2 linked regions of the Diceros bicornis minor genome follow. The protein of the gene in region 1 purifies or fractionates together with the protein of each later gene. This does not show direct contact. Links are inferred from orthologs where the notes say so. Each region holds a gene or a part of one and is shown on either strand. Other genes may lie near its edges.

The links.
Region 2: the proteins of ACVR2B (region 1) and INHBA purify together in Homo sapiens (affinity purification with western blotting; 3 studies listed by BioGRID and IntAct, with this or other methods). This does not show direct contact. The link is inferred for Diceros bicornis minor from reciprocal best matches to the Homo sapiens genes ACVR2B and INHBA.

Annotation. Positions count from the first base shown.
Region 1 is NC_080741.1:41,292,746-41,302,300, reverse strand, and holds the start of ACVR2B (activin receptor type-2B), read right to left. Parts: upstream 4,097-9,555; 5' UTR 3,508-4,096; coding exon 3,393-3,507; intron 1-3,392. UniProt on the Homo sapiens protein: Transmembrane serine/threonine kinase activin type-2 receptor forming an activin receptor complex with activin type-1 serine/threonine kinase receptors (ACVR1, ACVR1B or ACVR1c).
Region 2 is NC_080742.1:5,596,272-5,606,337, forward strand, and holds the start of INHBA (inhibin beta A chain), read left to right. Parts: upstream 1-5,703; 5' UTR 5,704-5,891; coding exon 5,892-6,279; intron 6,280-10,066. UniProt on the Homo sapiens protein: Inhibins/activins are involved in regulating a number of diverse functions such as hypothalamic and pituitary hormone secretion, gonadal hormone secretion, germ cell development and maturation, erythroid differentiation, insulin secretion, nerve cell survival, embryonic axial development or bone growth, depending on their subunit composition.

The sequences.
Region 1 (9,555 bases):
CATGAGAAACTTCTCATCAGACTCTAAAATAATTTTTCCACATGTTTCTCCCATACCCCCTACCACCATTATCATCACATGTGAAATCAGGATCCTGCCATGCCAAGATCTTGTCAAATGCACTGGGCTCACCAGTGGTGCCCTGGTATCCACAGCTCCTCACAACCTTCAGCAAGTGCCTCAGTCTTTCTGGAGGGTAGAGGCAGAATGGAGCATGGCGAGAGAGCACACACAGACACACACATGCACCTCTATCTCAAACCCAGACCAGCACATCCTCTAGTCCACTGCTTACTCCCTCTGTAAGCACAGTAACCAGGAGACTCAGACATAGGAAGCAGCTTCTCTGGCTCTCCTCAGACTCTAGGCCAGTAGAAGTGAGCACTCTCCTTGTCCAGGCACCCTTCATGAAGTGGGCTATTTCCAATCTCTATAATCTAGCATTTCTGGAGGGGAGGAGGTGCTCACAGACTGCTGCAGAGGGCCACCTGCTGTCTCACCCAGCTTCTGCCCCAAATACCAACACCTGGGTAGCCTCAAAAAAATAAAAACACAGTACAGTCATTTATCAGTATCTATTAAAATTTAAAATATACATGTCATTATGACCCAGAAATTCCTCTTCTTGTCATCTATTCTTGAGAAACAATCTGCATAAACTATATACAATCAGGAAGCCCATCAATAGGAAACTAGATAAAATGTAGTCTACACCCAAACTTTGAAATTTCACACAGCTATTAAAAAGATCGAGGTAGATCTATATAATAGAAAGATTGCCAAAACATATCTCTGAATTTAAAAAGCCATGACACACAACAACACAGATGCAAGTCACAAACATGGTGAGCAAAAGATGGACACAAAACAGTTCACTCTATAAGACTCCTTTCATATAAAACACAAAAACAGGCAATACTAACGCATGCTGTTAGAAGTCAGGATAGTGGTTACCCTTAGGGGTTCAGAGGTAGAGACTAGAATGGAGCAAGAGAGGGCTTTGCTGGGGGAGGGGCTGGTAAATTTCTGATTCTTGATCTGGATGCTAAGTAAATGAACAGATTCAGTTTGCGAAAATTCATCAAGCTGTCACGGTAATTACATTGTTCTATATGTATTTTATTTTATACTTCAATTAAATGTTTGAAAAAGAGCAATACAATTTTAGGTAAAAAAACAAGCACACACTTCTCTATTTCTTGAAGTATTCCTATAGATGCACAGGTAAAATATCTAGAAGGATATCTACCAACCCGAGAAGGCTCACTTCTGGAGAATGGGGACTGGGGTGATAAAAGAGACCCTGGTTTTATCTCTAACATCTAAATTTCTGCAATTGATGTACATATATTATTTGTAAAACTAAAAATTAATAAAATTGAAAATGGGAAAAGAAGTTATGGCTAAAGTGACCTCTACTCCCCCAACTATACCCCAGGGTGGCTAAGCAGGAGACCCTGGGTAAGGGGAGGTTTGAGAGCCGTTTTTCAGGGAGGCAGGACTGCACTGCTCTGGCTCTAGTTTCCCTGAGCGGGCCTGCAGGACCCACTCTCAGATGGGAGGTTCAGAGGAGGAGCCAGCCAGGTAGAAAGGGAAACCAGAATTCATCTCTCTAAGCTTTCTGTCCCTCTACTTTCTAAGCCCCAGAGCAGATGAACCCTGATCCCCTATGTCCTCAGGGCACAGAGAAGCTGGACCTCCTTATGAGGCCCTGGTCTGCCTGGCTTGTGAGCACCCGAAAGGAATGTCAAACCTTGGGTGAGAAGGAAATTCCCAAAAAGTACATAAAGTAAAGGTTTCTTAACCCATGGTTGCCAGCCAAGGCTCTGAGAACTCATGCATGCTTTCTGAATCAATGGGGAGGAAGATGGAAGGAGGGTTGTCAACGACACTGAACATTAAGAGGCATTGTCCTCATACCTGAAAACACTGTATACCACTACACAAGCCAGAAGTAAAAAACATCCTGCCATCAACACTCAAGAAAGTCAGCTTCCAAGTCAGCCTCCTGTTTTCATTGGTTCAGGTCTAAGGGGCAAGCAGGGAGCCCCTCCCTCTCCTTGGATGGACAGACAACAGCTGGTCTGGTCATATCTTCCGAAATGCTCGGCCACAAACCCCAGGAAGCAGCCTTCTCCATCCTCCAGCCAAGAGCTTGGGTTTCCAACCAGCCTTCCTTTTCTTTCCCCAGAACTAATTTTAGACTCCTTGGTTGTCAGAGTAGAACTGAAATAGTCGGCAAAGGAACGTTTGAAAACAAGAACATGAGCTCACCTCACAAAACACCTCAGCTCCAGCCCAGAAACTGGCTAGAGAGGAGAAGTCCCATTGTGCAGCAGGCCAGGCCCCAAGAGAAGGTCCCCGGGGGGAGGAGGGCCATACATCTGCCCAGTGGGGCAGGCTTCCTTTCCAACACTCGCTCCCAGCAATCACGTGTCCGTGAATGAAAACACTCAGCTAGGGCTGCCAGTCCCTGAGACACTTTGAAAAAGGCACATGTATGTGTACAGCGAGACTGGAATTACCAGGGTAAAGCATAGGGCTGTCCGAAGGCATGAGTGATCCTGGGCCAGGAAGAGGCACGGCTGATCCTAGAACAATCCCAGTCCACATTATCAGTTGGTTTCCAGTACCTATCACTGTCTCAGGCAGATATATCACTGAAAAACCTAAAAAACGAAGACTCAGAAGAAGGCAGCAGCATCTCCTCTCCCTCATCCCCATCACTACCCAACAACCTGAGCATCCAGGAGCAGCACCACTAGGACCTCAAGGAACAGGTACCTCTTGGGCTGTGGGTCTGGGGGGGAAAGGGCCTGTGAGTCTGGGGGGTAAAGATCAAAAAGGAAGCTCTAAACATGGGGATGGGTGTCTATTCCTGAAGGAAGAATGGTGATAGAAGGCAAGGGAAGAAAAGAATTTTGAGAAGGCAACAAGGTCTTTCCTTCAGAAGGACCCCAAAAGAGATGGAACTGGCAAGTCTCAACTCCAGCAAGAAACCCTTTAAAATAAGCACTTCACACACGGGGAATGTGGAAAACCTGGAAACTGAAGCTTTTAAGACTGCTTCCTCCCACCCTGAGAACCCAGTCTGTAATCAGTTCCAAGTGCAGCAAGCTGTCTTGCTGAGTTCAAGATCAGAGAAGAGTCCCCCCAGAAAGCCCTCCCTAGCAGAGCTGGGGGTCGGTCCGGGGAGCAGTGGAGCACAAACACGGGTGCTGCCAGCCTGCCAAGCCCAACACACAGGCGCCCATAGAGATCACCCCTTCCGTCAGGGCCCCGGGGCTGGCGCCTGGCGCCGGCAGTTCTGCCCACCACGCCTCCCCAGGTCCAGAAGAAATCTGCCCTGCCCTCCAATTCCCCGAGGCCAGGAGAGAGACTGGTGCCCATACCTTTGCGGAGAGGCTGCCCCCCTGCCCTGGCGTCCCCGGGCTCGGAGCTCCAGGCCCAAAGCCTCTGTGGCTCCTCGGGGCGCCGCACCGCCGGCGCGCCCGGGGGAGAGGGCATGCCCGCGTCCTGCTACCACCCCCCGCGCTCCTGCAGGCCGCCGCGGGCGGCCCCGGCTCCGGCGGCTCCCGAGTGAGCAGTCAGGGGCTGCGGGGCGGCGCGCAGGCCCCAGCAACAGGCACTTCCTGACATTCTGCGCGTGCGGAGGGAGAGGCACGAGGCGCAGACCGCACGGCGGCGGGCAGAGGGAGGCGGGCGGGCTGCCCGGCCACCCACAACCGCCGCCTCCCTGAAACCCGAACCTCTTCTGGGAAAACTCAAGGACGCCAGGATTCTCCTCGGCGGCCAGCGGGTACTCCAGAACCACTCATTTCGAACCAAACGCTCACAGCCGAGCAGGTTTATCAAAGGAGGAATCTCCTAGGCTTGGATGAGAATCCACCATCCCACCCCGAATACAATGGGAGGGGGGGTGTATGCAGACATTAGCCATTAACCCCATCTCCCACAAACGTCTGTCTCTTTAAAGCATGAGAACATTCTAGAGCAGATATTCTCAACCCGAGGTGATTTTGCACCCCCTCTGCCTAGGACATTTCCGGTTGTCACGATTAGAAGTGCTATAAGCATTTAGTGGGCAGAGGCCAGGGAAGCTGCTAAACATCCTACAGTGCACAAGACAGCTCTCACCACTACCCCAACATACACCCCCCCCACACAAAGAAACATGGGGTCCAAACTGTCAATAGTGTCAAGGTTGAGAAACTCTGTCCTGGAATGAGGTCTACCTAGCCAGGACCCCACCTGAGGGCTGTCTATTCAGTGTCCTTCTCAAAAGCATTACCCAGGCCAGATCCCCCTCGGCCCCCAGATCCCAGTCCACGGTAACAGGCCAGTATCCGCAAGTGGATCTAATCTCTGACCTGATGTCCCTTGGTCCCCACTTTATCCTGAGCTGCCAGGTAGGGGGCTGAATGCATAGGTACTCAGGGGAGGCCTTCCTGGAGGAGGAGGAGACTAGGGCTGGAACATGAACACTGGGCAAGATCACAAATGACAGAAGTAAAGAAGTCATGTCCAGTGGCTAGAACAGGGTAAGTGGATGCAGCAATGTAGGAACAAGCCCGGTGAACCCCCAAAGGACAGCAAGTTGCCCCTCAGGACTGGTACAGCGGGTATGTGCAGGGCAGTCAGGACTTCACAGAGGCCAACCCAGGGGGGCACAGGTTCCTGTTATCAGTGCAAAACAGCAAGTGTGCTGCACAATGTGTGTATGTGCATGTGTGCACACACACACTCGCACCCTGATTTGTATTTTCCTGGGGAAAGGGTCCACAGCTTTTATCAGTTCTCAGAGGGGCCCATGATACAAAGGACCATGGTGTAGGATGGGGGCTCTTTGCAAAGGAAATTCCTTAGGTGAAGTGCCACGGGAGGTCCAGGTGCTATTTGGGGATTCTCGATGCCCAGAAAGACCTTGTGGGGTAGTACACCACAGAGGCCCACCCAAGCTGTGCGAGGCCGTGGGGTTCTGGGTCTTATGCTTTCACCCAGCTGTAGGGCCTGGGAGGTTGGGTGAGTTTCTCACATCACCTACCTTGGAAGAGCCTCTAAGAGCTGAGGAGGGTGCCCACTCCTCCCAAAGGCTAGGCCAGCCGGCCAGGGAGAACCTGGAGTGCCCACAGATATAAGGACAGGTAGCACAGGACACCCTTCCCTGGGGAAGAGCACCAATGGCCTGTGGCTCTGTGGTACATGGCCTTGACAGCAACCACTACACTGGGCCTGAAGGTCACTTGACTCATCACACACACACTTCTCCCCTAAGAAAATGGACAACATCTTTGGGTCAGAAAGTAGCCAGCCAATGAGGACGGCTTGGGGCAGTCAAGGCCTGCACTTCCTGATGGGGCAGACAGGAGTCAGGTCCTCTTTCCCCACCAGTGGCTCCCAACATTCCACCAGAACACTCTTCACCCCGCCCCACAGGCTCCAATCTGAACCCCAAGTACAGAAGCAGATGTCCGGAGTTCTTGTGGCACACAGAGATGTGTGTCTGGGATGTCCAGTGCAAGGCAAGAGCCAGATGACTTTTTTCCCAAGGACACCGGGCCAGGCACAGAACACAAAAGACTTGCAGAACTAACTGAACACTGATCTTGTAACAAGCACCATGTGCCACTATTACAGCACGAATTCCACCTTTTCTTCTAGGCCCGTGCCATCCAGTATGGTAGCCACCAGCCAAATGTGACTACGGAGCACTTGAAACGTGGCAAGTGTGAACTGACATGTTCTGTAAGTATAAAATACACACTAGATTTTCATGACAGTACAACAAAAAGAATTTATTTTATTCTTTTATTCTCATTATTTTAATACTGATTACATAGTGAAATGATTATTTTGTATATATTAGGTTAAATAAAATATACCATTAAAGTTAATTTCACTTTGTTATGGACTATACTATGTTCCCTCAAAATTCATATGTTGAAACCCTAACACCCAGTATGATGATATTTGGAAGATAATTTGAGTTAAAATGGTTCATGAGGGTGGGGCCCTCATGATGGGGTTAGTGGAAGAGGAAGAAAGAAAAAACTCTCTCTCTCTCTCTCTCCCCACCAGCACCAAGGAAAGGCCCCGTGAGGACACAGTGAGAAGACAGCCATCTGCAAGCTAGGAAGAAGGCCCTCACCAGAACCCTGGCACACTCATCTTGGACTTCCAGGCTCCAGACCTGTGAGAAAATAAATTTGGCTAAGTCACCCAGTCTATGGTATTTTGTTATAGCAGCCCTAAAAGAAACACCTGTTTCTTTTTCCTTTTATTAACATGACTACTAGAAAATTTTAAGTTATATATCTGGTTCACACTATATTTCTGTTGGACAGTGCTATCCTAGATCTTCCTTCTACAAGGGCACTGTGTGCCACAGGGGGTGGGGGTAATTCTAAACAGCAAGCCAGGAGCTTGAAGGAAGGGCATTCACGAAGTCAAAGGAACAGGAAGGCCAGCTCTGCCCCCAACCTGGGCCTGGGGCAGCTCTTCCCATAATTCCTCATAAATCAGGGCAGTGGCGACTAGAAGATGGTGACCCCCACCTTCCTCCCAGGGCAAGAACACAGGTGATGGGACTCCAGTCTAGCTCCAGCTGCCCCACCTTGCAGGGTACACTGCTCAGCACTACCCAAGCCAGGAGTGGGGAGCAGGGGGAAGAGGAGAGAAATACAGTCCTTCCAGGGGCCCAATTCAACTCTGCCCTGCCTCAACAGGGAGGGAGGTGAGACTGGTGAGGCCAGACTGAGACAAATTAAGGAGAAGGTTCCAGGTTTGAGGCTGTCCTGTCCTAGGAGGAGGCCCCCTCTGCAGGCTTGGGCTTAGAAGAACCCAGGCACCTCCAGGAGGAATCTAGAGACAGCCAGGTAGGCTGCTGGTGCCTATTAAGTCGGCTTGCTCCCGCCCACCCCCCTAGAGACCAATGCTTTCCTTTCACTTCAGAGCTCTCATTCTTGGGAAAAAGCATCTCAAAGCAGCACTTAAAAGACAGAGAGAGAAACAAGTTCAACACCACCACCACTTCGCTTCTGCCACACAGAAAATGGCTCCACAAGAGCCATGATGCCCCCTCCCACATCGTTCCGAGGTACCAATAAGAGGGTCTCTGTCCTCTGGACCCTGCACTCAGGCTACTTAGCTCCAATCCCCACACCGACAACTCACTGGCTTTCGGTGCGGACAGCTAAGCCACGCTATACCGTAAAGCAGGCGATTAGAGTAGAGGTGGCGATGGGATGGAGATCCCGGATCCCCACGCCCGCAGCAGCGCGGGGATCCCAGCCCCGCCCTCGCGCACCCGGCCCCGCCCTTCGAGGGTTTCCCAGACTCCGCGCTGCTGCCACCGCGGGCGGCGGGGGACCCGCGCTGCATGTGTAATGGGGGCTGGGAACAAAGACGCGCAGGACCCAGCTCCCGGCCTACCGCGCACCCGCCGCCCCAGGCTTCTCCCTAGAGCTTCACTGCGCAGCTCCCCACGTTTCCCACAGGCGGTCCCTGCGCGCACACCTGCGTTGGGCGCGCCCCAGCACCGCTAGAAGAGGAAAATCAGTGCTTCGGCCTTGAGGAAAAAGCGCTTTTCCGAAACTCCGCGTATATACACCTGCACCCACACACACGCGAGCCGAACGCTAGCCCCGCGGGTCACCCACCCCCGCCACGTGCTTCCCGGAGGCCAGAACGAACTGGGACATGTTGGCTTTTCTTCTCGCCTCACCTCCCCTCCCAGGCGCCCAAAACAAAGCGGTCCCGCAGGGCGGCCGCACCTAGCGTCCTGAGGCCCGCCGCAGGGAAAGCGGGCGCAGTTGGGAGCTGATGCCAACGGCCCGCCTTTCGGGGAACGACGCAGACGTTGGTGGGATGGGGTGCAGAGGACCCCGCCGGGCTGTGTGAAGCAACCCCCTTCGCTTCGCAACACTTCGTGGCTTTGAAGGTCGCGCAGCCCTGCCCCCAGCAGCTGCTGCACCTACAATCCCGCCACCCTCGGATTAGATCTGCCCGCCCCGCTTGGCCACCCTCCCCACGCTCCGGTTTTCCTCTCCCTCTCCCTGGGTTCCAGGCGCCCGCGTATCCTGAACCCGGACCCTGGGGCTCCAGGTCCCGCCCCCATCATGGGGTCGCCCCCGCGAACCGGAGCCCCGCAGGCCGCCGTACAGACAAGACCGTCCTCCTAAGATCGGCGAGCGGGGCGCCCAGCGCGCCCCTAGTCCCCGCCCCGGGAGGTGTAAGCTAGGTGCAGGTGGCGCGGCGAGGAGGCCGCGGGCCCGCCCTTTGTTGGTCAACACCGTGCGGCGCCCGAGGCCAGCCCGGCTCGCCCTCCCCGCACCCCGCACGCCGCGCCTCGTCCTTACCCGCGCACAGCGATCCCCAGAGGAGGGCGAGGGCCGCCCAGGGCGCCGTCATGTTCCGCGGCGCCGCCCCGCGGACACCCGGAGCCCGCGGGCAGGGCCGCGCGGCGCTCCCGGGGCGCGCAGGGCCCGGCGGCGGCTGCGCTCTCCTTCCCGCTCCTTCCTTCGGTCCCGTTCCCCGCGCGCTTCCTGCGCCTTCGTCCCCGGGCAGCGTGCAGGCTCCAAGGGCCAGGCGGCGGGGCCGGGCTCACGGCTGCTGCGGGCGGCGCAGGCTGCGGCCCGGGCTCCGGGGCGACGCAGGGGCCGGGGGGCGGCGGCGGGGCGCGGGCCGGGGCGCGCCCGACTCGGGCATAGCGCGGCGGGGCTGGGCCCGGGCCCCGGGCGCAGGGGCCGAGTCCGGAGGGGCCATGAACGGGGGGAGGGGTGGGGGGAGGGGAGCTGAACCGAGTCCAAAATGGCTCCTGAGCCGTGGCCGCGGAGCCGAGCCAGCGGGGAAACCCGGATGTTGGATACAAAGAGGCGGGCGAGCTGGGCGGGGAGGGGGAGGGGGAGGGGAGGCGGGCCCTCTAGCCGCGTGGTCCGCGCCCCCCTCAGGGGCGGGGCCCCAGAGAAACAACAACAAGGAGGCCCCGCCCCCAGCCCGCGCCCTCCGGGAGGATGCGTGCAAACCGTGGAGCTGGAAGACGAGGCTGGGTGCGCAGACAGAGGTGGCGGGATTGCACCCTGGACCACTTTGCCCCGGGAGCCCGTGGCCGCCGCACCCGAGATTCTTGCTCCACGCGCTGGAGCCCATGCTCCCGAACTCGTGCTGCCCTGCGACCCCGGAGTGGATGGCCAGCCCCCGGACTCTGGCCTGGATTCCCCTCTGCGCCTCCGTTTCCCTGTGAAATGGGGGTCACAATGAACCATAGGAGAGTCGTGTCTTTATTGATGGGTGAACTAATCAGCAGAAAAAGGCTGACTTCTCTGAAATGACAAGTGGTCCCCCACGTCTGCAACCCCACCCCACACACACAAAGGGACAGCTGGAGATGCTGTAGTTGGACCCATCCAAGGCAGGGACGGCGCGGAGCCCGGCCGCGCAGAGCAGCAGCAGGTGGAAAAGGGCCTCTGACTATTTGATTCTCCACCCTTACCCCAAGTGGTCCTCAGAATTCCCACCCACCCCCCGCTTCAATCTGCACCTCCAAGCTGTTCTCAG
Region 2 (10,066 bases), on another chromosome or scaffold:
AGAGAGCCATGAAAAACAGCCCCCTTTTCTAGGCCTGTTTCCTTGTTCCAGGAGTACTGAGCAAAGAGACCAATTAATAGCACGGATAGAAGGCGAAGGACATACGGTTTGCCTCAGAAGAAAAATGAACATTCTTGCCTCTTGATCTATGCCAGCTTTGTACAGAGACAGCTGCCGCCACGGGTAAACACCACTATAGGTTAGCCGTGCCCTAAGATGTGTGTCACCTCGGGCCACAGGGAGGCACAGGGACGCTGGTCTCTCCCCTGTTTGCACCACTGAGCTCTTATCCTTAAACGAACTTTGTTTTCTGACCAGCTCACTAATCGTGATCGAAAACACCAGCTCCCCAGCAAGGCACAAGCACTGGAGTTAGCAGCAGCAAGACAGGCCCTAATTGCTCCATTTACATAAAAGTAGAAACATACAACTTCTAAATATAAATCTCTGGCACATCGTGCCTTTTGCAATTACAGTAAAATAAGGTACCACAGTTTCCCTCCCGGCTCCCTCTCGCAACAAGCTGCTCCACCGGGTTCTCCAGGGGCTGCTCCTCGAGGCGAGAACAGAGCCATGCAAATGCTCCAGCGAGCGGCTGGGCGCTTTGTGAAGTAGCCAGTAAATCAGGCCGCCTGCACTAGGAGAAAAACGCGGCGGCAGCGGGCCACTGTGCCAGCGCAGTCGCTGGTAGGACCCAACTCCGCAGTCGGAAAGGGGACAGCTCGTGGGGCGTCAGCGCTTCTAGCGCGCCTCTGTCCGCCCTGGAGCCGGCCCGCAGGTCCCCGTCCTGGTCCCTGACATTGGCTGTGCTTGCAGCCCTGGCACGAGGGCTAGGTTCAGAGATTCCCAGCTGCACTCACTGAACAGTGATTTTTTTTTTCCCCTCTCTGAATTCTTTAGCTGCCAAAAGGGGGGAAAAATCAAGAGCTGCTTTTAAAAGAAGTTGCCCTTGCTGGTGCTCGGGGTAAAAATAGAGGCGGCCGCTCCGAATGGCTTGGCCCTGACTCCAGACCCGAGAGCCGGGCTCGAGCAGCAGCCGCGTTCCGGCGTGATCCCCGGGAGCTGCCAGCAGGTGTTGCTCAAGGTACAGTAGCAGGCCGAGCAGCGGGACCGCAGGGCCCGGGCGTGGGGAAGCTGCGGGGGGAGGGGGCTGGAAGTGAAAGAGAAACCAAACCCAGGAAGGAAGAGGAGATGCTTGTCAGGAGCTGGGCTGACCCGTTTACCCCTGGGTCCTGGAGTTCGGAGGGGGTTAAAAGATCAGTCCCAGTCCAAAATATTCGACAGAAGTTATTTTAACCTGCCTGCTTCCTCCACCACCCCCACCTTCATTTCCACTGAGTGAGGAGGCATTTCCAGTGTGGCTCAGCTCCAAGGCTGGGGATTCAGGTAGAGAATGACATCACAGCTGGTGGGCCAACCTGGCAGGTGGGCACTTCCGTGGCATCCGATGGCCAACGCGATCTGAGTCACACTTATAGGGTGGCTCCTCTAGTCAGAGTGCTGCAGATTCCTGTGACACAAATGTTTAGAAAGAGCCACCATGCATCTCAGAAATAATATCACCTCTTCTTTCCTGAGTACAGGCTTCCCTGCAATTGAGTATTGCGGATCCTACTTCATAGACGAGAACACTGAGGCCCTACGTGACATGGTTAGTAGGCAGTGAACCTGGGGTCTGATCTGGGTTGGTGGTCTACCCCCACACTCATGGCGGTGGTGGTACTTCCAGGACCCCAGGGTTCATGCGTGGGGGAGGGGGCAGGTTTAGCTGCCCTGCAGGCCATTGCTCTCCAGCAGTGCTCCTCACAGAGGTGGGACATTCCTTTCTTCTAAAGAGGTTGAGTCCATCTAGTTCTCAAGTGCTGGACAGCTTTGGAGTTAACCAACACTGATCCTGTTTCTGTCTTTCCTTCTCAGATTCCCTCTGTTCCTCTACAACCTAATGATTTTATTTTCTACTTCATTTCTGCGTATGCAGATGGTAGAATACTCACCCCCCAGCCCCCACTGTACAGCTCAGCATCCACACTTTCTCTGTGTTCAGCCAAGGCAGACCCTGTTACGCAGAAGACTTATGGTGTCCTAAAGGAACCTGCTTCAACTGCACGTCAGGAGGCCAGAGCCTCTGTATTTTGCTTGTGGGCACAGTGAAAAGTTTATTTTATGCATGTTAAATCCTGCATACAAAACAACATATCTGGTCAGATGGCTTTCATTAGCTCCCAGTTTTGCACATTTTATTCAACTTGTCATGAGTACCCAGCTATATTCCTTCTCCATCAGTCTTGTCTGAAGATTCCTTCCTCCTGTGTTATTTCCCAGACTTGCTAATACTCCCCCACCCCCCTCAAAAAAAAAAACCATAACCAACTTGACCCGTATTTCAAGGAATGTTTTTCTTTTCGTTAATCTCGTGTTATATTTGTAACAATTTTAAAATCATAGGACTTGAAGTTCTGATAAAGAAGAATGTTGTATGAGTTGTTTTTTTTTTTTTCTTTTTTGTTAGATTGGGATTCTAAAGACCTGGGAAAGATAAAGTTCACTTGCAGAGAATGACTGTTTCCAAAGTTCTTGGTGATAAATGATTTATGAAGCAGGCATTCAATTTCAAGCGTAAAATAATAGTGTAAGTCAGGGGAGGGGAAACCATTATCATATCGGTATGCATATGTTCCTTTTTTTCTCAATGAAATATCTTATTTTAAAAAGTAAAATTAGAATCCCTATAAAGAGCACTGTGAATTTTCCTGCCTGTAAGAAACAATAAAATACTTTTTAAATAGAGGCAACTTCATGAAGTAACAGATGTTTTATGTGAAGACATAAAGCTGAACCTGAATATAATGAGAAGTGTGTGTGCGAGTAGTACAAGAAAAGTTGAAAGTTGGACACTCAGTGAGACGTAGCTGTTCCATTCCGGTGTTTTTCTAAAAGGTAATCCAGTCAGTCAGAGGTTTAACTGGCTCAGTGATCACCCAGTGTCACAGCAGCCAAGAAAGGCTTTCCATTAGATAATGAATTATGAAATATGGCTCACACTGGAAAAACCAGTCATCTGCTGATGTCATGCTGATTCTGACCAATCCCAAACAAAGCCCCAGCCCTCCTCTGTTTGAGTGGTACCAATGTGTGAGTGTACAAATAAGTAGTACAGTATAAAACTTCCCAGTGCCAATACCATGAAGAGGAACTCAGACAGCTCCTAACCACATAATACAAGAGTCTGCTGGAGAAAGAGAGGACCGGAGAGGTAATCTTTTTAACTCTTACTTATGAGCTATTTACACATTCAGAATCAGAAGGGTTAGAAGGAATTTTACAGCTTATTGACACTTCCATGCACATTGGGATTTATATCTTTTTATATTATTCAGGCAGGTTAATATAGCTTTTAATAGTAGAGCATGCAAATAGATTATGTGTTTATACAACTCATTCAGCACTTAAATGCAAATACATATGCCAAAGAGAAAGCTATTTTTTAAGAGTTACATTCACAAACAGTAAATTCAGGGAAAACACACATACTCACATACAGAGAGAATCCAAAGATTGATAAATTGCACTTATCTAAATGCTACTATTAGGACTCTTGAGTTGTTTGGAGTCATTAAACTTTTAATTCTATTTCAGACTCTCTTGTAAAACTTAATTGGACTACGAAATGCTTTGGGTACTGTATATGTGACGCCAAATAAGTACATTGTGCTAAGTATTATATTTCAAAGATGTTTTATTAAACAATTATAATGCAAACTCCCCCTTCCCCATTCTCTTTCACCATCACCCACTAAAAAAATTAGACTTTTTAGGGAATGTAAGCAAAGTCTTAACAATAAGAGCAGAGTAATTGATGTTCCTGGAGGTGAAACCCCAAAGCTGATAGATGGCTTGTAACAGAGAAAGTCTTGCAAGTAGTTGTTTTGGGAAAGGGAGACAGTGTATCCTATTCAGAATAGCATTGTTACCTGTGCAAACTGTAATTTTAACTTAGTGCCACAATTTTCTCACCCTCCTCCCCTTGCCCTCAGATCTTGTCCTTGTACTAATGATATTTATTAACTTTTTCCACCAAACTGCATTGCTTGACTATAATGCTCTGAACACACTAGGTGTCAGATATAAGCTGACTGTATCTACAGAAACTGAGAGGGCTTATGTGTGGGAAAGAAACCGAGAGGGAGGGAAAGCTTTAACAGATGGACCTCTTAAAGATACTTCTGCAAGATAAAAGCAATAAGAAAATGAAAAAGGGGGCTGGGGGGGAGGAGAATAAAAAAAAACTCAGAGAAGCATTGTTTAAAAATTCACATTTTTCTTTTTCTGTGAACAGTGAAATCCGTGATAATTTCATCTGTGCTGTTCCTTTGAGGGAAAAAGAAGCCATTAAAGGAGCCAGTCCATGAACACACTGATCTGGGATGGGGTAGGGGGCAGGCTGAAAAAACTACCACATGACAGAGAAAATAATTTGCCAATATATTTTAGAGATTCTTTTCCCATAGGACTAGTTATTCAAGTCACAGGAGTGCACTGTTTGTGTAAAATAATGTGGGAAAGGGCAAATGAATTTTGCATTTGATCTGTGAAGTCAGGGCCGGTGGTGGTAGGCTGTAATTTGTGAGTGCCTGTGTGCAGAGCAGAAGGGGGTGGCGGCTAAGGAGAGGGGAAAGAGCTTCACAGGACACGGACACGTAAAATGCTGCCTGCTTGTGGATCTTCCAGTGCCCGGCTGCATTTTGCAGCTGGGGAAAGTAGAGTGTATTATATGACCCCAAACAAAAGTTCTATTGCACTCTCCTCAGATCCCCAGCCGGTGGTGAGGATCCAGAACATTTCAATAGGAATGAATGGGGAAACGAAGATCTCCAGGATTCCCTCAGGCCCCAACAATTGACTGGCCGGCCCCCTAGCACATTGGCCCCTCAGCCCTCTTCCCAACTCCACTACCTGTCCACTGACCTCTCGGCACCCCGAGCCCCACCGGACAGGACAGGCTGGTAGGCGTTTGGTCCCCTGGGGCTGTGGCTAGGTAGGGTGGAGGGGTGCTGGGGGTGGGCTGTTTCAATCCAGTCATCCCTGCTGATGGAGCCAGTGCATTTGTTTGGCATTTTCTTTCTCCTCCAAAAGAGGAAGAAGGTGAAGCAAGGGGACTGGGCAGAGAAAGAAAAAAAAAAAGAAGTAGAACAAAATTAGGAGAATTTCTTTCAGAAGGGAAAGTAGAACTCCCGAGAATGCTGGTATTTGAAGAGAGGTGTGTGTTGTGAGGGAGCAAGGAACAGAAGGAAGGCAGCCTGTCAGAAAACGGGCTGTCCCTCCCCTTCCTAATCACAGCCTTTACTCACAGACGAACTCCCTCCCTCTCCCATTCACTCACTCACTTAGGGCCAATCGTTCTCTCGTTCTCTCTCTCTCTCTCTCTCTCTCCCCCCCTCCCCCCTCCCTCCCTCCCTCTCTCCCTTTCCCTCTCTCCCTCCCTCCCTCTCTCTCCCTCTCCCCCTTCTCTCCCTCACTCTTCTCTCCCCCTCTCTCCTCTCTCCCTGTCTCTCCCTCCCTTCCATCCTCTCTCTGTCTCTGTCTGTCTCCCCCCCACCCTGTCTCTCCCTCCCTCCCTCCTTCTCTCCCTCCCTCCCTCCCTCCCTCCTTCTCTCTTACTCGGAGACAGTCAGAACTCTCCTCCCTGACAGCCACAAACCTACAGCACTGACTGCATTCAGAGAGGGAACCTGCAAACAAAACTTCACAGAAAACTTTTTGTTCTTGTTCCAGAGAATTTGCTGAAGAGGAGAAGGAAAAAAACAAACAAACAAACAAACAAACCTGTGCGAGAGGGGGGAGGAAAAGCAGGGCCTTTTAAAAAGGCAATCACAACAACTTTTGCTGCCAGGATGCCCTTGCTTTGGCTGAGAGGATTTTTGTTGGCGAGTTGCTGGATTATAGTGAGGAGTTCCCCCACCCCAGGATCCGAGGGGCAGAGTGCAGCCTCCGACTGCCCGTCCTGTGCACTGGCCACCCTCCCAAAGGATGTACCCAACTCTCAGCCGGAGATGGTGGAGGCCGTCAAGAAGCACATTTTAAACATGCTGCACTTGAAGAAGAGACCCGATGTCACCCAGCCTGTGCCCAAGGCGGCGCTTCTGAACGCTATCCGAAAGCTCCATGTGGGCAAAGTGGGGGAGAACGGGTATGTGGAGATAGAGGATGACATCGGAAGGAGGGCAGAAATGAATGAACTTATGGAGCAGACCTCGGAGATCATCACGTTCGCGGAATCAGGTCGGTGCTGGCATTGAGGGTGGTGGGGGGGATATGTTTCTTTGACAGTCCTAGGAGGAACTTCTTTTCCCTCCAGCTCTAAACTGCCTGGGAAGATCATTAGTTATTAGGTGATGGAGGGGAGGGGAGAGAGCTTCACAGAAATGGAATTCTCGATTGAACCTGGGCTGGAGATGGCTAGCTTACACTTGCTGAACTCAGCCGGTCACTCCGGAGGAAGCTCCGGGGCCAATCTGAAGCTGGAAGCTGGTCTGTGAGAGGCTCCCTCGCCCTGCCTATGAAACCAGATCTGAGCAGCCGGATGGAAGCCGGGGCATTTTCGGGTGCTGGGGGAGCCCAGGAGGCTTCCGGACCCCATCCAAAGTTTTTACTGGGGGGGGGGCAGAGTGCGGGATCGGGATGGAATGGCACAGATGAAGTCATTCTTAAAACAAACCTTCCTTTTAAAAGTCCAGTCAGGGGCCACATCAGCGAAGAAGGGCATATTTATTAGTGACAGTCATTTTTACCTTTAGAAACTCCATCTGTAAGAGCACAGGCATCACATTCTAGGCAGTAAAGAGCGACTTTGGGGGACAGTTGACATTGAAGCAGCAGTCACTTTTGAAACTCTGACTTTTGCTCTTGGAACCAAAAAAAAAAGAGTTTTGTTCTCTATAAAGTTACTAAGAGCTCTCTGCCAAGGAATGCAACCTTGACAAAGTGCTCTCAGATACTACACTGAACTCTCACTCAATCCTTAAGAGGAAGAACTTTAATAAATAGATTCTAATCAATCGTTGGCTCAGGACCACACTAACCTGTTGCTGAGTAGGAAATACCTGTCAAAAATGCAGGCTGTAGACCTGGAGCCAGTTAAGTGACACAGATCCTTTTGCATGCCTGCAAGCCCGTGCACGCCCAGGCACACAGATGTGTTAATACCCTGTTACTTTCATGGTAATGCCAGGCTAAAGAATTGTAGCCCTTGCCAAATCCATTTGAAAGGAATGCCATTGTTTTGTTTGGTAGAGCATATGGCCGGTAAAGTATGTGCAGGGACTCCCAGCATTTCTGTTTAAAAGTTTGCCGCAGCAGTATAAACAATTAAGGCAACACTCAGAATTTCCAATCCTGAAAACCTGTTGACTCAGATGTTCTATTTTCAAGAAAACCATGCGCGACCTGGGCATCCTTTTCGGGGAGTAGGTAGCCCACTGGTTTCCTGGCTTTTCCCTGTAGGAGAAGTCCTGGTGTCCTGCAAGCTCCCGGCAGGGCAGTTCAGCTCTCTCACCAGCAGCTTCTTTCTTTTCAAGAAGGTCTTACTTTCTTTCTCTAGAACGCTTTCTTGATGCAGCCCCAAAGAACATGGTAATTATGACTTTATCTCTTGAAGCTTATTGAGGAAAAAAGTCAGGTTGGAGTTTTCAAGTTGCCACCCAATTTTTCTCGACCTTTCCTGGTGGCAAGGTAGGAAAGAAAGTGCTTAATGACGTTGGGGTCTGTTTGGGGAATGGATTCTAGTGGTCCACAGGACTGCTCCCTCCGTGTCCTGCCCTGCCGCAAGGGACCCTGTATAGGTTTTTATATACCAATTGCCACACATGATGGTCTTAATTGCAGCTCATACTCCTTTGGCTTTACCCGCATCATATAACTAAGTGTACTCAAGCCTTTGACCGCTTTTAATATACACCTGATGCTAGCAATCTGCTCCTCTTTCTGCCTTATCTGACTTGTATAGCAAATCATTCTCTTGGCATTGAGAGATTTTGCAGTGAAAGAATTTGACCTTTTACATTCTTTCTTACTTATGGCCTTCATCTCAGTGCCAATATTTTTCTCAGTTATATGAAATCTTGTCATTTTTTAACTTTTCCATTAGGTATTTAGTTTGAAAGAAATTGAGCTATTTTTTTAAAAAGGCTATTCATTTAACTCACACGCTGACTAAAGTTTAAGGTTTGTAATGGAAATCTCCTCCTGATTGAGTTTACAACTTGACTTTGGGTGAGCTGCTGGATTCTTAGAAAAGGTTTATTACACTTGCTTATTTTTCTCATCTGAGAAATTTTACACATTACCTTCAAGTTGATTTACTATGATTTCACAGATGTAATGATTGCTATGTGGACAATCTACTCTCCAAATAGAGTAGCCTGTGAATATTTTGCTAACCCTGGAAAGAGATTCATCATCTGAATGATTGTAGTGAATATATGAGCATCTTGTTGCTTTTGGAATAATTCAACCTTAATAATATTTAAACTACATCAAATGTCAAAATTTCTGGAGAATAGCAAAGGGCGTTCATTTCTCTTTTCTTTATAAACTGTCATGTACAGCATAGAATCCAATCACTCAGTGTCACCCACATGCATGCCACAGATGCATACCCATAGATGAACCTTTCAACTGCAAGATTCCTCAATTTGGAGGATTCATGTTTCATTTTTGCCTCAATTCTCCTTGATGGTTAAATAAAGCCAAGACATGGCCCAGCAGTTGAGAAACCACAAAAGCTCAAGTGCCTAGAAGTTTTTGACCTGAGCTTGTCCCATTGTGCTCAGGTGGAAAGTGCTCCATCTTGTAAAACCTATATGAGCTGTAATTGACCAAGCAGCCAGGAATTATTCTCAGGCTTTCTGAAATTTATCCCAACAAATGAAAATGATTTTCTTTTTATGTGTGTCAGCCAAGATTGCTCACCAAGGTTTGCATGGCTGGCACAGAATCTTCTCTGTTTACCTTAAGACCTTAAAGGAAAAGAGGAAGGGATGAGTAGAGTCCAGCCAACTATCACTGTAATTGTCAATGAAGCTAAAATCAGTGGCCTTCTTGACTACTACATATTTGTTATGTTATTTTGATATATGATAATAGCTGGTCAGTGTATAATAACAATGTATCATTGAGTCTCCATATGCTGCCAAATTTATAGGCTGATTATGGTAATTAGCAACTGATAGCACTTGTCGAAGAAAGGATAAGGAAAGAAAGACAAATGAAACTCCAAGAAATAGAAAATGCTCACATAGCCTAGGTGTTGTTGAAAGTAACAAATAAATCTCTCTTGGAGGATTCTAGTTACAGAAGATTTGAGTTAGAATTTTACACTGCCCAAACAGGGGTCTAAGCAGGCTTGCTTGGATGACTATTTTCCCTCACCCCAAGAAAGCCATCTCGGAGTGGAGTTGACTCCCACCATTCCATGCCGAGCTTCTGAACTTTTCTGCGAATTACGCCTCACTGAAAGGGTGCCTTTAGGGGTTACACGCTTTCTTCTCTGAATAATGGGAAATGACTGGCCACAAGAGGGCGCATTCCAAAGACTTTTGCTCCTTACCAGTTAATCTAGGCAAACGCAATTTCACCTACTGGAAGCCCCAGTCTGTAGCGCCCTAATCTTGGTGATTATCAGTTACCTCCTGCTTCCTCTCATCCTCCAGAAAAAGTTAGGATTTTATGGGATGGGAGGAACGTGACTACCTGTGATACATTAAATGAGACAGAAGGGAAGGAAATGGGAATTCTAGTGAGGCATGTGAATATTCTGGAGCTCTATGGAAGACAGAGGAATGATAAATTTCAGAAGCAAACAAAGCAGAGCGTGGAGAAATGTGACCATGAATCATCAGCAATACTGATGTGCTCGCACATCTCTCCCTAACACGGCCGCCTGGGCTATTACAAACACGTCTTCCGTCTGCCCTGATTCTGTTGCCTAGTTTGCCTGTCTTATCAGCGCTTTTCACCAGCGAGAAATGACGAGTGACTTCAAACAGGGAGGGAAAAGGCTATTTATTTA